Linked DNA regions of Saccharomyces cerevisiae S288C. The protein of the gene in region 1 interacts with the protein of each later gene in a biochemical or structural test. Each region holds a gene or a part of one and is shown on either strand. Other genes may lie near its edges. The genes, in order: ACF2 and YSC84.

What was found.
Region 2: the proteins of ACF2 (region 1) and YSC84 interact in a test that uses a peptide from one of them, tested with the Saccharomyces cerevisiae proteins (one study listed by BioGRID).

Annotation. Positions count from the first base shown.
Region 1 is NC_001144.5:425,862-434,014, reverse strand, and holds ACF2 (endo-1,3(4)-beta-glucanase), read left to right. Parts: upstream 1-1,998; coding exon 1,999-4,338; downstream 4,339-8,153. Other genes in the region: YLR146W-A (uncharacterized protein), read right to left, coding at 1-145; SPE4 (spermine synthase), read left to right, coding at 290-1,192; RMP1 (Rmp1p), read right to left, coding at 1,242-1,847; DPH6 (diphthine--ammonia ligase), read right to left, coding at 4,629-6,686; PUT1 (proline dehydrogenase), read right to left, coding at 7,399-8,153. UniProt on the Saccharomyces cerevisiae protein: Cleaves internal linkages in 1,3-beta-glucan.
Region 2 is NC_001140.6:133,649-140,729, reverse strand, and holds YSC84 (Ysc84p), read left to right. Parts: upstream 1-2,274; coding exon 2,275-2,321; intron 2,322-2,489; coding exon 2,490-3,849; downstream 3,850-7,081. Other genes in the region: argininosuccinate lyase ARG4, read left to right, coding at 1-719; YSC83 (Ysc83p), read right to left, coding at 879-2,036; MIP6 (Mip6p), read right to left, coding at 4,197-6,176. UniProt on the Saccharomyces cerevisiae protein: Essential for the organization of the actin cytoskeleton, fluid phase endocytosis and vesicle trafficking, together with LSB5.

The DNA.
Region 1 (8,153 bases):
CCTTTATTTGTTCAAACTCGTTAAGATCGCAGCGAATTTGAGAATTCGTATCCCGCAACTGAGCAAATAACTGTTGTATTTCATTTTGCAACATCCGGGCATGCTCTACTGACGCTGTAGTCTTTTTTTTCTCTTCAGTGTCCATGGCTACTTCGAGCTTCTCTTTATTGCTAGATCCTTTTTAAGGTTATCTCAAAATTTTTCAAGTTGCTGCTGATTTTAGTTAAAAATAAAATATCAAAACGCCGATGAGACAGGCAGGATAAAGTGACAGATTCAGTTATACATTATGGTTAATAATTCACAGCATCCTTACATCAAAGATGGATGGTTTAGAGAGATTAATGATAAAAGTTTTCCGGGCCAGGCCTTTACTATGACCGTGGACTCAATACTTTATGAAGCCCGCAGTGAATTTCAGGACATCTTAATCTTCCGTAACAAGGTATACGGTACTGTTTTGGTCCTCGATGGTATTGTCCAATGTACGGAATTTGATGAGTTTGCCTATCAAGAGATGATCACCCACATTGCCATGTTTGCGCATTCTAATCCCAAGCGTGTACTTATCATTGGCGGTGGGGACGGAGGTGTCTTAAGGGAAGTAGCCAAGCACAGCTGTGTAGAAGATATCACTATGGTAGAAATTGACTCATCAGTGATCGAATTATCCCGTAAGTTCTTGCCCACATTGAGTAATGGTGCTTTCGATGACGAAAGGTTGGACTTGAAACTTTGCGATGGCTTCAAGTTCTTACAAGATATAGGTGCTTCCGACGTCCATAAGAAATTTGACGTCATTATTACAGATAGTTCTGATCCTGAAGGTCCAGCTGAAGCGTTTTTTCAAGAGAGGTATTTCGAACTATTGAAAGATGCTTTAAATCCTAATGGCGTTGTTATTATGCAAAGCTCTGAAAATTTTTGGTTAAATTTAAAATACTTACATGATTTGAAAAATACAGCCAAAAAGGTATTTCCTAATACAGAATATTGCTATACCATGGTTCCAACCTATACATCTGGCCAATTAGGTTTAATTGTTTGCAGTAATAACGCCAATATACCGTTGAACATTCCGCAAAGAAAGATATCTGAGCAAGAACAAGGGAAGCTGAAGTACTATAATCCTCAAATACATTCTAGTGCGTTTGTTTTGCCTACTTGGGCAGACAAGGTCATTAATGAATGATTTATTAGCATTGATATTATTATTTTAAAAAGTCTATTTACTTGTATATTTATCCGAATATGCCATCAATGGCTGATTTGTTCTTCTTTTTCCTTTTCTTTTTCTTCTTACAGTTCTCTGTCAGAGGCTTTGGTATAGACGTTATCACTAGTTCGTTTTCTTGAACGTTGTTGCCAATATCTTCATCTATAATTTCTCCAAGTTCTTCGACATCGTTCACAACCGATTTTGCTTTTGTTCTCGGTAAGTTCTTTATTAAGCATCCACATCTTATAAACTCAGTTTCATTAATCTCCCATAATCTCATATACAGTGCCCTCACATTTGCCAGCAATGTTACTAGTGTACAACCCAACGTTACAAATTGTCCCAGCGCAATTACGCCATTGAACTGCCAGTACCATCTCTTTAACTGTCTAAAAAGTGCTCTCTGTAATAGCCTGTGCAACTTGACCCATTCAACATCTTTAAGGCGTTTGGCTTGTAATCTTCTCGAGCTAAAAAGCGTTATTATTTGTCCACAATTTCTTTTCATCTCATTGAACGATCCATACCAGCTAGCCGCTCTATGTTGATTTTTGTTCCTATGGTTCAAGAGCAATATTAACCGATATTCTTGCTCCAGAGATCGTATCACATTATCCATCTCATCCATTTTGTTTCTGCTCTTTTTTTTTTTGTGGATATATCATTCTAGTACTCATTTCTTTGAAGTTTTTTTCTTGGAACCATAAATAAAATTCATGAATTTCTGAAAAGTGCTAGTATCATAAAAACAAAAATAAATAAATACGAGAAGTAAAAAGATGTGTTACAGTAGGCAAGCCATTCCTCCACCTGTTCCTAATAGACCTGGCGGTACTACCAATAGAGGACCTCCTCCCTTACCACCTCGCGCAAATGTTCAGCCACCAGTTTGTTCTTCTGAGAACTCCAGTAAACCTCGAGAAAATAGGGTGGCAGGTGAATCACTGCGCACACCAAGCAGTTCTAACCCTTTAGCTGACAGCCAGGTGAATAGTGACAATATTTTTCAATCACCTGTCCTTTCTAACTTAAAAGCTCCTCCTTCCGTCTTCAACAAAGTTCAACACCCGGTACCAAAGCCGAATATTGATGATCAATCTGTTGATCCATTGGAGACAAACAAGTTCTACACAAACATGTTATTAGACGATAATACACAACCTATATGGACACATCCTTATTCAATTTGGTTTTCTCGTGATCCAGAATTGTTTGGTTTGGCCGCCAATCATACTTTAGCGTCTCAAAGGGTTTTTGATACAACTACAAATCCTCCCAGATTCTACTTCAATCCCACAAATATAAAATCATTTGTATTCAAGGCCAGGGAATTTGTCTCTTCAAATGATATCAAGCTTGAATTCCGGGATATGAAACATATGTCCATGTGCTTACTAATGTCTTTGAGTAGTTCCCAGTTTATAGAATTCCCGCTGGTTCAGGGGATGGGCTTTGTCACGGCTATTTACCACGATTTGGGTTTTGAATTAAGAAGCGCCGTTGGTTTCAGGAGCTTAGAGCGCATAAGCGTGAATGAAAGATATGGTAAATATAATATACAACTTGAGAATAATAGGAATTGGATACTTTATTTGACCTCACCTGATTACTCTTTTCCACAAGATTTTCAAATTTCATTACTCGACAGCAATACAATAATATCATCTCATAAAATCAATGGTCTTATCTGTCAATTATCTGCAGACTCCGTCCCCAGTATTGACATGGCAGCGGGCTGTTATCCAGTATACTGTGACCTATCAGGGCAAACTGTTGATGAACATTTCACAAATTACAGATTTAACTATACGGTTGCAGGCTACTCGCAGTCTGGAACTACTCTAATGTATGCTTTACCACATCATAAAGCGGCATTCACACCAGAAATGCAGGAACGTGAAATTGCCTCAAGCCTGGATTCCACAGTTAAAGGCTTAATGACTGGTTATCTCACAAACAGTTTTGATATGCAGGTTCAAGTACCTCAAGAATTGGGCTTTGAACCTGTCGCGTTATCTTTGAATAAGAAGGCAGATTACAGTCAAGAAAAGCTATCTAAAATTCGGGAAGCTGCTGTTCAAGAAGTTCAATTGAGTGACCCTCAACAAGAATCAAACATAGATTCTATGTATTTCTCTGGTAAGATACTTGCAAAGTATGCGTGGATTCTTTATGTGACACATTACATCCTTCATGATGAAAATTTAACAAAAGAATTATTATCTAAACTGACTATTGCAATGGAGAGATTCATCAGCAATCAGCAAGTCTTACCTTTAAATTACGACGTTAGTTGGAAAGGCATAATTTCATCAGGCTCTTCTAGCCAAGACTTTGGTAACTCTTATTATAATGATCATCATTTTCATTACTCTTATCATGTCATAACGGCTGCCATTATCTCTTTAGTCGATTCTGATTTAAGTGGAGTTACTAACAACTCCTGGTTAGAAAATAATAGAGATTGGGTTGAGTGCTTAATTAGAGATTACTCTGGTGTTGACAACGATGATCCGTACTTCCCTCAATTTAGGTCATTTGATTGGTTTAATGGCCATTCATGGGCCAAAGGACTATTTCCAAGTGGTGACGGTAAAGATGAAGAATCTACTTCAGAAGATGTCAATTCTTGCTATGCGATAAAATTGTGGGGGTTGGTAACTGGAAATTCTAAGTTAACTGACATAGCGAACTTACAACTCGGCATCATGAGAAATGTTTTCCAGAGCTACTTCCTATACGAAAGCAATAATACTGTCCAACCGAAAGAATTTATTGGTAATAAAGTTAGTGGTATTTTATTCGAAAATAAAATTGATCACGCCACGTATTTTGGCATGGAGCCTCAATACATTCATATGATTCACGCCATTCCTATAACATCAGCATCTTCATGGGTCAGAACACCAAATTTTGTCAAAGAGGAGTGGGAAGAAAAAATGCAGCCGATAATTGATCAAGTGAATGACGGTTGGAAAGGAATAATCATGTTAAATATGGCTCTGCTTGATCCAAAATTTTCGTACGACTTTTTCAGCCAACCTGATTTCAACAGAAATTTCCTAGACAATGGGCAAAGCTTAACTTGGTCTTTAGCTTATTCAGGTGCTTTTTCTTAGGGGTCAGAAATATATACAGTGTTAGTAGCATGGTACAAGTGTTACGATAAGGTATTTTATAGAATGATCATTTTTTTATATGAATATTGGTTCCTAAACCATCATCAATAATCAAATTATTACAGAACACACCTTAATTGTGCGGCGTATTCTAAATTTTACGTGTTCACAATATGGTGTTGTTCCTATGATTTGCTAACATATTTGGGATCTGTCTATCATTTACACCGCCAGGAGCGTGGACAGCGTATATCTATTAAGTTTATAAAATATAAGGCCTACATTTGGAGTTAGGAACGAATATGCAACCCAAAGCGGTGTTCTTTACCACGGTAATCAAAAAGTTTCTCCACCGGATAGTATCCAATGTGATGGTGGAAAGTGATGATTTCTTTGGGATTATAATAGAGGGTAATCTGGGCTGATTTTGGGGTTTTTTCCAAGATAAGTTCTAACTCCTCTCTACTATCTACAAATCCCGTAATAAAGTTTCTATTATATCCAAACGCACTAACTGTAGTGTTATGAAAACCTTCAATATTCAAATTCAATTTCTGGAATACGGTTGAAACATCATCATTCTCTTCCCTTTCTTTCTTGTCGGAATCATTATCGTCCACTATTAATCTCTTACAAGTAACACCACCAAATTCTGCAACAGCGCCTCTAGGTAATTCAGAAATCTTTACAAGAACTAGGCATTTTTCAACATCATCAGATTTGTCCATCCATAGATCTGATCTATGATTCATATTTGAACAATAAAACGCCCATGTTTTGATGACAGAGTCGAGAACCGATTCGTCTGAAATATAGCATGTCATGAGTAACTTTTCTTGAGCTCCTATTGTTTCACACAAAGTATCAAAATGTTGTAATGCCAAAACTATTTGGTCAGTGAGAGGTGTTCCTAATATTTCCATTGACTGCGGTACTAGTCCGATTTGCCCACTGATAAAACTGACTTGGTTTGCATCATCGTTTAACCAAGTACTTTGGGAATATGGTCCGATATTACATGGAGCCCAATATGAACGGCCTTGAACATGTAGTCCGCCCTTATTCTTGTTGATTTTTTCTTTGCCTGTATTTTTTACATCAACAACAACTGATAACTGTACGTGACAATCTTCTGGCAAGCACTTCGAACCTACGCATGCTCTTGATGGTGGCAAAGGTCCGTATTTTGACAAATCTAAAAATTCATTGTATATTTTGTTGATTTTTCCGAAATTAGACATATCTCTAATTAATAATGACGCAGATAAAATATGATTCCGTGGAATCTGGTTGGAATGCAGAATGTCGGCTAGCTCAGTAAAAATATCTTCACTTTGCTTCTCGACCGTCTCACTTTTACGTGATTGTAGGTTAGAGATGTACAACTTATCATTGGTTTTATTGATTGTCGTTTGTGGTAGAGCATTCGACATGTGATTTTCAAATCTTTGTTCTCCTGTTTTAGCTTGTTGCTTTGGCAAATTTTGGGTTAAATCTTGCCAATTATTACCAAAAATCGAAGGTACAGGTAATTGATCTAATTGGTTGAGTAAAAAACTTTTGCTCAAATTACGCGGTTGAAATTTTACCTTTAACCTTGCATTGTGAACTTCACCATCGCTACATTTGACAATATCAATTAATTCCAAGTATCCATGTTGGAAAAAAGGGGCATCCAAGACCATTGTCTCAAACTCCCCACCCTCTCCACAGATATGAACTTGATAAAGTTGGTTAAGTTTCTGTAACACCGGTTGCATCATAGGCAAGGACATTCCTAAATGTTTCTCGTTCAATCCAATTGCTGCCACCTTGATTATCCTGGCGTCAAATTTATTTCCTGAATTAGTATCGTTTTCAACATTGTTAACATCCTTGGACATAAGGCACATTTCACCCATTAGTTCGGCTTGATCCCTTTGCCATAAATAGCTTAGCACTACTAGACCCAATCTGGAACAAACATTTTCCACTCTGGTCCTCTGGTAAGACGATAAGATGGCACCTACACTAACAGCTTCTAAATCTGGAATTTTATCTTTGACAGTTCTTAGAAGTTCAAATAGTTCTTCAATTTCATCATCCTGAGTAGCAGTATAATTCAACTCGACGTTGTTAGAAGTGTTCCGTAATATTGAGCGTCTAAATAGTGGAACACCAATACATTTAGAATAATAGTCTATTAAGTCATGTCCTACTGTTTGGAACATGAAAGAGTCTAATTCTTGCTCTTCTGATTCTTTTGGGTATATATTTCCCAGGGCAATCAATTCATGGTTGTTCTTCAGGCAGTGAAAAATATTGTAGAACGAGTCCTTCCCACCTGATATTAATGCTATAAACTTCATGATACTGACTTATTGGGCTTTGAATTTTGATATAGCTTTATCAAAGATTTCCGTTTGAACTAGCTATTCATCATCCATCAGATATAAGTGAAAAAAAGCTTCTTTAATAGAAGCTTAAAAAAATTCTCCGCGACGGGGAATTGAACCCCGATCTGGCACGCGACAAGCGCCCATTCTGACCATTAAACTATCACGGATAAGAAACACTGGAAAACTATGTATCCCAAAATCCCATACGTTGGTTTACTAACACTACTAGATGTATTATTCATAGGTACCCCAAAATCCTTACAAAGAGACAAGGCTGAGTGTATCAAGCAAAACCGCTTTAAATCTGATGTTCTGCGCTTTCTCCCTTTGATTAGATTCAGGTCTTATGTAGTTTATAGAAGATGAGTACCTTTCTTGTGCATAAGAGTTGATAATAAGCCTGACGACGACAAGCCACTTTCCTACCGATTTAGGATTGGCAAAACATCTGGTACTATTCGAACCCATAATCAATAGGAAGAAAGCTTTACCAACAGATTGTTATTTAAGTGGTTCAAGTATATTAACTCTTGATATCCGTGCGTTTACTTTACTATTAGTGTTATTATCATTACTTATATATAATATGTATAACTAGAACATCAGAATTATGTATGCATACTTTTTTTTTTTTTTGGTTTTTTGGTTTGTCTTTGAAATTGGAGTATATATTATAGTCCTCTCATAGGCCTACTCTTTTTGGAATCGACTTTGCTATGGCCTTGATTAATGGCCAGCCATTATCAGATCTCACAGCATCCCCGTTTTCTTGCAATCTTCTCAAAAGATAATCTTTAGTTTCCAATGGTGGGCCCCATGGGACATACTTGATTATGTTTTTAGCGCCATGGTTGGTAATTAGGTCATAGGTAACATTATCTGCCATACCTAGTAATTGCCCCAACACAATGTTCGATTTGGCATAAGAGTTGTCTTGGGTAGATTTTAGCAAATTAGTAACGAGCATTTGGGATTGGTAATTATGAGAGGCGACAACCAAGTGACCAAAATAAGAATCCTCGCCATTGATGATTAAATCATTGACAACTTGAGTGATGATACGATCGTAATTTTCGTCAGTGCCCGTTTTATCGCCAAAGATAATTTGGTTACGGTTTTTTTCAGAATGAATATAAGCACCACGAACCAGTTTCAGCCCAAGCTTATAGCCGTTTTCTTGGGCCAGCTTCAATTCGTGCAAAATATGGTCACCAGAGTCCCTTAGGTACAACTGCCAAGTACCGACACATGATATCAGTTTAGATGAAGTGGGATTGAATTTTTGAAATAAGATTCTCTGTAATTCGTAAACACCATTCTCCTGCAAATCATACTTCTCAGCGTCAATAGTGGAAACCATAAATGGGGCCTTTCTTTCAGGGTACTTCTTTAACAAAGATTGATTTAGTTCAAAAATCTCTTTTGTAATCTTAGAGC
Region 2 (7,081 bases), on another chromosome or scaffold:
ATAGTGTAATTGGTAACTCCTTGGTTGCTGTTTCTGATAGAGATTTCATCGTGGAGTTGATGTTTTGGGGAACTTTGTTCATGAACCATATTTCTCGTTTTGCTGAAGATTTGATTATATATTGTACAGCAGAATTTGGTTTCATACAGTTGAGCGACGCCTATTCAACAGGTTCTTCTTTAATGCCTCAGAAGAAGAATGCAGACTCGTTAGAGTTGTTAAGAGGTAAATCCGGTAGAGTATTTGGTGATCTGACAGGATTCTTGATGAGTTTGAAGGGTATCCCATCTACTTATGATAAAGACATGCAAGAAGACAAAGAGCCACTATTCGATTGCTTAACAACTGTAGAGCACTCCATGCTGATTGCCACAGGTGTTATTTCTACCTTAACTGTAAATAAGGAAAAGATGGAAGCTGCTCTCACGATGGATATGCTAGCTACCGACTTGGCAGATTACTTGGTCAGAAAGGGTGTTCCATTCAGAGAGACTCATCACATATCTGGTGAGTGTGTCGCTACTGCTGAAAGACTTGGTCTAAGCGGTATTGATAAATTAACCTTGGAGCAGTATCAAAAGATCGATTCGAGATTCGGACAAGATCTTTTTGAAACTTTTAACTTTGAACAAAGCGTTGAAAGACGAGATGCTACTGGTGGAACCGCTAAATCTGCTGTATTGAAGCAATTGGATAATTTGAAATCCCAATTAAATTAGCAGATGGCGACGTTATGCGCAAGAATTTCATCAGGTCTGGTACTTCTAGGACTTCATCAACCCTTCTTTAAATACTTATTTTGTTATTAGTATTATATTTTCGAGATTGTGCTATGTATATATATACGTAGATAAGCAATTGTTATCTAATCAAGGATATTATTTGGATGATTTAGAAGATGACCGGCAAAAAAACGAAATAATGCTGCTATATACCTTGGCTAATCTTCCTCTCAAGCGTTTCAGGGAAAGACGTGTGTGATGGTTGAATATAAGTGAAGCAAATGGCCATGAGACTAAATAACTAAAACGGCCGCAATAATACACACTATTGTAACCTCCCAAAGTCGTTAACCAACTTAGCAGTTGTCTTAGTTTATACCCATTCGCACTCATTATCATTTTGTAAACTGGATAATGTAGGGCCTCGTGAATGTCTGAACCGGCCATTCTCAAAAATTTATAGTTCGATGGTTGTGACCCAATCTGCAGGATTCCAAGCTTGATTGTGGAAACATTTAACCTTTGATATTCCTTGAAAATTTTAAATAGTGAGTCGATTATTCCAGACGTTATAATTTCTGTACTATGATGGACTAAGTTCAGGTCCGCAGTCAAAGATGGATTGAACATAATTAGTTGGGTTTTTCTCTTCAAATGGGGTATAATGCTTAATAATGCTTGATAATACACAAATATACTTGAATGAATTTCAGATTCCAATGAGTCACATGAAATTACTCCGGATGGATGATATGATAACCTTGGCATAAACAATATGGATGCTAGCCTTGGTACATCAACAAAAAAACCCTCGAAGTCTTTTTCGCAGGTGGGATCAATGTAATATATGAAATCCTGATCTTCTTCGTGCTTCTTATAGACGTCTGCATTTTCAGTACAAATATATACTGTAAACCGTCTGCGATATAAATCCATCACTTGATTCCTTATGATAGGATCATTCATATCGCCCAGTATTAATACCACTTGAGATTCTGCTTCAGGTAAATTAGGTGGCAGTTTAAAAAAGGTCCTATACCCAAGGTATAAGCACAGGGAGGTGGCAGAAATTCCCAAGCCTAGCTTCCAATGATCCTGGAGCCCGATCCTCAAAGTTTTATATACTTTAGATCTGTTACTGTCGTTTTCCTGTAGTCGAGGAGTCTCCTTGTTGGATATCTTTCCAGATATGGATTCAATTGATTTTTCGACGTGGTTCTTGATCTCATCGCTCAAGACAGCGCTTTTCGAGACGAGCCAATACCCAGCATCAAATATCTGATCCACTATATCCTTACCACCAGACCAAGCCATTTTTATTTGTTTTTTTGAGAGCAAATATCTTCTGTTGTCTGTTTTATATTTCCTGTTTGTATGCCACCTACAACATTTTTACATGTTCCGACGCTGACCGAAAACGACCTGAAGGGAATTAAAGTTGACTACCCCCTAACTAGACCCTGTTCTTAACATTATCTATAACATGAAACTATCTTACACTTCACAGTAAAATTTTCAAGAGTAGTGGTAATATCAAATCCAAAATCCAAAAATGGGTATCAATAATCCAATTCCTCGAAGCTTGAAAAGCGAGACCAAGTATGTTCATATATATGCTTCCTGCTGCCCCTCCTCTAAACTTATGGATGCAGCTAAAATGTTCAAGATAGCTCTCTAGTCTGTGTCCATTGCTTATGGGGCATGAGTTTTCAAAAGTAATGTACTAACAACTTTATGATTGATTTATTTCGAATGTTTTAACTACAGGAAGGCCGCGAAAGTTCTAAGGAGTTTTGTTAAACCAAATCAAGTATTTGGAGCAGACCAAGTTATTCCACCATATGTGCTAAAAAGAGCTAAAGGTCTAGCAATTATCACGGTTTTAAAGGCTGGCTTCTTGTTTTCAGGGAGAGCAGGTTCTGGGGTGATTGTGGCCAGGTTAAAAGACGGTACATGGTCGGCTCCCTCTGCTATCGCTATGGCAGGTGCTGGTGCAGGTGGTATGGTCGGCGTTGAATTGACAGATTTTGTTTTTATTTTAAATTCGGAAGAGGCAGTGAGGTCCTTTTCTGAATTTGGTACAATTACTTTAGGTGGTAATGTGTCAGTTTCCGCAGGTCCTCTTGGAAGAAGTGCAGAAGCTGCAGCTTCTGCATCCACAGGTGGTGTCTCGGCAGTTTTTGCCTATTCCAAAAGCAAAGGTTTATTTGCCGGTGTGTCTGTGGAAGGTTCAGCCATCTTGGAGAGAAGGGAAGCTAATCGAAAGTTTTACGGCGATAACTGTACATCAAAGATGATTTTGTCAGGTAGAGTAAAAGTTCCACCAGCAGCAGACCCCCTACTCCGTATCTTGGAATCAAGAGCGTTCAACTTTACACGCCACGACCATGATGACAACGCTAGCGGTGATGATTTTTATGATGACGGTCAATACAGCGACAACACAAGCCATTATTACGACGATATTCCAGATTCCTTTGATTCTACTGATGAATCCTCAACACGTCCAAACACAAGATCATCAAGAAGAAGAGGAATGTCGCTGGGGTCACGCAGTCGTTATGATGATGATTATGATGATGATGGTTACGGACGTGGTCGCGGGTATGGAGATTTTGATAGCGAAGATGAAGATTATGATTACGGAAGATCTCCAAATAGAAACAGCAGCCGCAATAGAGGCCCACAGATAGATAGGGGTACTAAGCCGCGTGCGAATACCCGATGGGAAGATGATTTGTATGATAGAGATACTGAATACTCCCGTCCCAACCATTCCGGTAGGGATTATGATAATACCCGAGGAAATAGGCGTGGTTATGGTAGAGAAAGGGGTTATAGCCTTGGTCATGGCCCAACTCACCCCAGCAATATGAGCAATGTCGATGATTTATCACATAAAATGTCGAAGACAGGGTTAGGTAATGAATCCACTGCTACAAATTCGGCGACACCAACGGCTGTTGCTCTCTACAATTTTGCTGGAGAACAACCAGGCGACTTGGCTTTCAAAAAAGGTGATGTTATTACTATCTTAAAAAAATCAGATTCTCAAAATGATTGGTGGACAGGCAGGACTAACGGAAAAGAAGGAATATTCCCTGCAAACTACGTTAGAGTTTCTTAAATTATCGTCCTCCATATGTCTCGTTCCTATATATAGAATTTTTTTTTAGAGTTATGAAGTTGAGGATGGGTTCCTTATTCAGCTATGTTTACGAAATGTTTGTAGTTATATAATCACAATGGAAAGCTTCGAGGAACCACTTCTTAAGTACTCACTTAGTAGGTGGAGTATTTCTTGAAACTGGACTATACGCCATTAAACTAAAAAAAAATCGAGGCTGAAACTCCTTGGAATAATTCTGGGTAGATTAAGATAGCAAAGAAAACAATACTCTATTTTTATAGACATACGTACTTTTGTACCGAAAATTGCATATTGATGAACCTGCCTTCTTCCTTTAAAAGGAATCAAACTGTAAATCCGAGGCTTTCAGCAGCTCTAGTGACTTGTTTTTGTAGAATTTTCTGTGATTCTAATGAAGTATTTGTCATTAATAAAAAGTGCGATAGCCTTTCTGAGTCATGCTCCCAAAATACGTCAAAAATAAACTCGGAAATGCTGCGCAGATTTTCTTCTTTATTTAAACCAGAAATACTTATACGTTGTAAATTTCTGTTTATAATTTTTTTTAAGGACTCAAGTATTTCTGCATTCTCCTGTTTAGTTCTCTTAGGCTGATGCAGTTTTTCGTCAACAGTATTTGTAATTAAATTAAATGCTGGATGAGGTTTCATCGGCGTAGCTACGAGAGAGTTCATGTTTGTGTAGGAATTTGAATATGATGAGAATGGGGAAACTACTTGTTGAAACTGTGACGTTAATCCCTTTTGATGAGCTGATAACTCTTGTGTGCGGAAACGCATCATGGAACTAATGTTGATTAATTTCTTATAATTTTCATTGTTGTTACCATCGTCATAGTCTATCTCATTTAGTATATTATCATTATTCTTTGACCATGATGCCTCAACCAAACTACTTCCAATTAGTCTCCTATCCAAAATATTAAATAATCTCTCAGCATCACTACGAGAAAAACACTCAACATGTCCACAAAATGTCCAATTTAATGAGTTATAGTTTGTGATCTTAATTTCACTGAATCTTATTTTTTCTTGTAAACATAGTTGAGAAATAAACTCCTTATTGCAATTGAAGCTTAAATTTTTTAGATAAACCTTTGTTTTCTTGTTCGTTCCAATTTGATTATGAACAGGCTTATCTTTACCAGGACCAACCCAAATGGTATGGTTTTTAAAAATTGTTTTATTCAAACATTTCTGTGCCTTTTTAGATTCTTCTTCATTTTTATATGTGACGAACGCTTTATGTGGTGTGTTCGCCTGCTTTTCAGAGATGAATACAGATTTTATGGGGCCAATAGTGCTGAAGTAATCCAAGACCTCTTCTTGTGTTGTGTCAGATGGTAAATTTTTGACTAATATTGTTTTCGAACGAGCATTATCTGATAAATTATTGCTAGCCAATAGTTCGTCTTCGATAACTATGTCGGAGCCAATCATTTTTTTTCTTTTTGTAAATTCAGGTCTAGTTCTTACTTCTTTGTCAAAATGCAATCCACATATAATTTTATTTCCAAAAAATTCTTGGTTATTGTATTTTTTGATTACATTTCTAGCAGAAATATCGTTATCGAAATAAACGAACCCAATGTTTTTTCTTCTTTCTAGAAGACATGACAGTACATTTCCGTACTCGATCATTATTAGATAAAATGATCTTGTGGTCAGTTGGGGATTTTCCAGTGGTAAGTTAGAGAAAAAAACATTTGTTCCGATGTTTTTTCTAAATAATGTATTTTTCATAGATGGCATTATTTTAACTTCTTGACCAAAAAAAACCGTATAATTAAATTCTTTCCTTGCAGATTCTGCATCGTTTTTATCCTTGAAATTCAAATAGCCATAACCCAATGATTTTTTGGTGAGAAAATCACGACACACTTTAGCAGATTCAAAAGATTGATACCTTTTGAATATCTTCCTTAGCATTTCTTCAGTGACAGTTGATTTCAGATTTCCTATAAACAAACTATTTGTCTTTGAAGTTTTCGTGATATATTTTTGCACGCTTCCCTTTGCAACAGTTTTTTCAAATACTTGCTCTTGTTCTTTCTTTTCTTGAGTTGCATTTTTACAATCGTATTTTTTGAGGCTATTCTTTTCTTTGACTTCAGCATCCTTTAATTTCACATCACCGAGCTTATATCCAGCTCCTTGCACGCGTACTAGTGCTTGGGCTGATATCGTTTTGAAGCTTTTCTGCCTTGCATCTTTATCATTTGGGCAACTTTTAGAAATCGATCTGGGATTTTGCTTGCTATTTAAAGAGATATTATTCAATACATTACCATGAGAGTTTGGCATCTTTTTTTAGGGAATTTTTCGTATTTCTGCTTTTATTGACTTGGATAATTCATTATGTTAAGTAAGCTCTAATTGCTAAAAATGCCATAAAAAGAAAACTTATTGGAAAAGGACCGCCATTTCGAACGGAATTTGTGACACAAGTTCATTTTAGCAAAAAAAGGTCCTACCCGGATTCGAACCGGGGTTGTCCGGATCAAAACCGAAAGTGATAACCACTACACTATAGGACCGGAACTTACTGGTCGATCTGAAAATCATGATCGAATACGTCATCCTTGCATTACCCAAAATCAATCAATTTTTAATGAAATACATCAAATTTTGATTGTTGTTATGAAACTTCAAAATATCATCCGTTTATTAGTACTCACGCTACTAGTTTATTGTCAAATAAGTTGTAAGAAGATGGCATAAACATTGAGAAACAGTCATCAATTCTAATGAAAGCAGAAATGCAAGGATTGACAATGTAATAGGGTAATGAAAAATATAGAACGGAAGGAGAAATAATCATAATAACCTTATGTCGAAATACAGATTCTGAGAATTAGGTGAATTTTGAGATAATTGTTGGGATTCCATTTTTGATAAAGGCTATTATATTAGGTATACACAATATACTAGAAGTTCTCCTCGAGGATTTAGGAATCCTCAAAATGGAATCTATATTTCTACAACCTAATATTACGATTATTCCTCATTCCGTTTTATATGTTTCATTATCTTATTACATTATCAATCCTTGCACTTCAGCTTCCTCTAACTTCGATGACAGCTTCTCATAACTTATTTCATCATCTAACACCGTATATGATAATATATTGATAGTATAATTATTGGTTGATAGACGATAGTGGATTTTTAATTACATTTTGAGGATTCTTATGTTCTGGTGGATAACT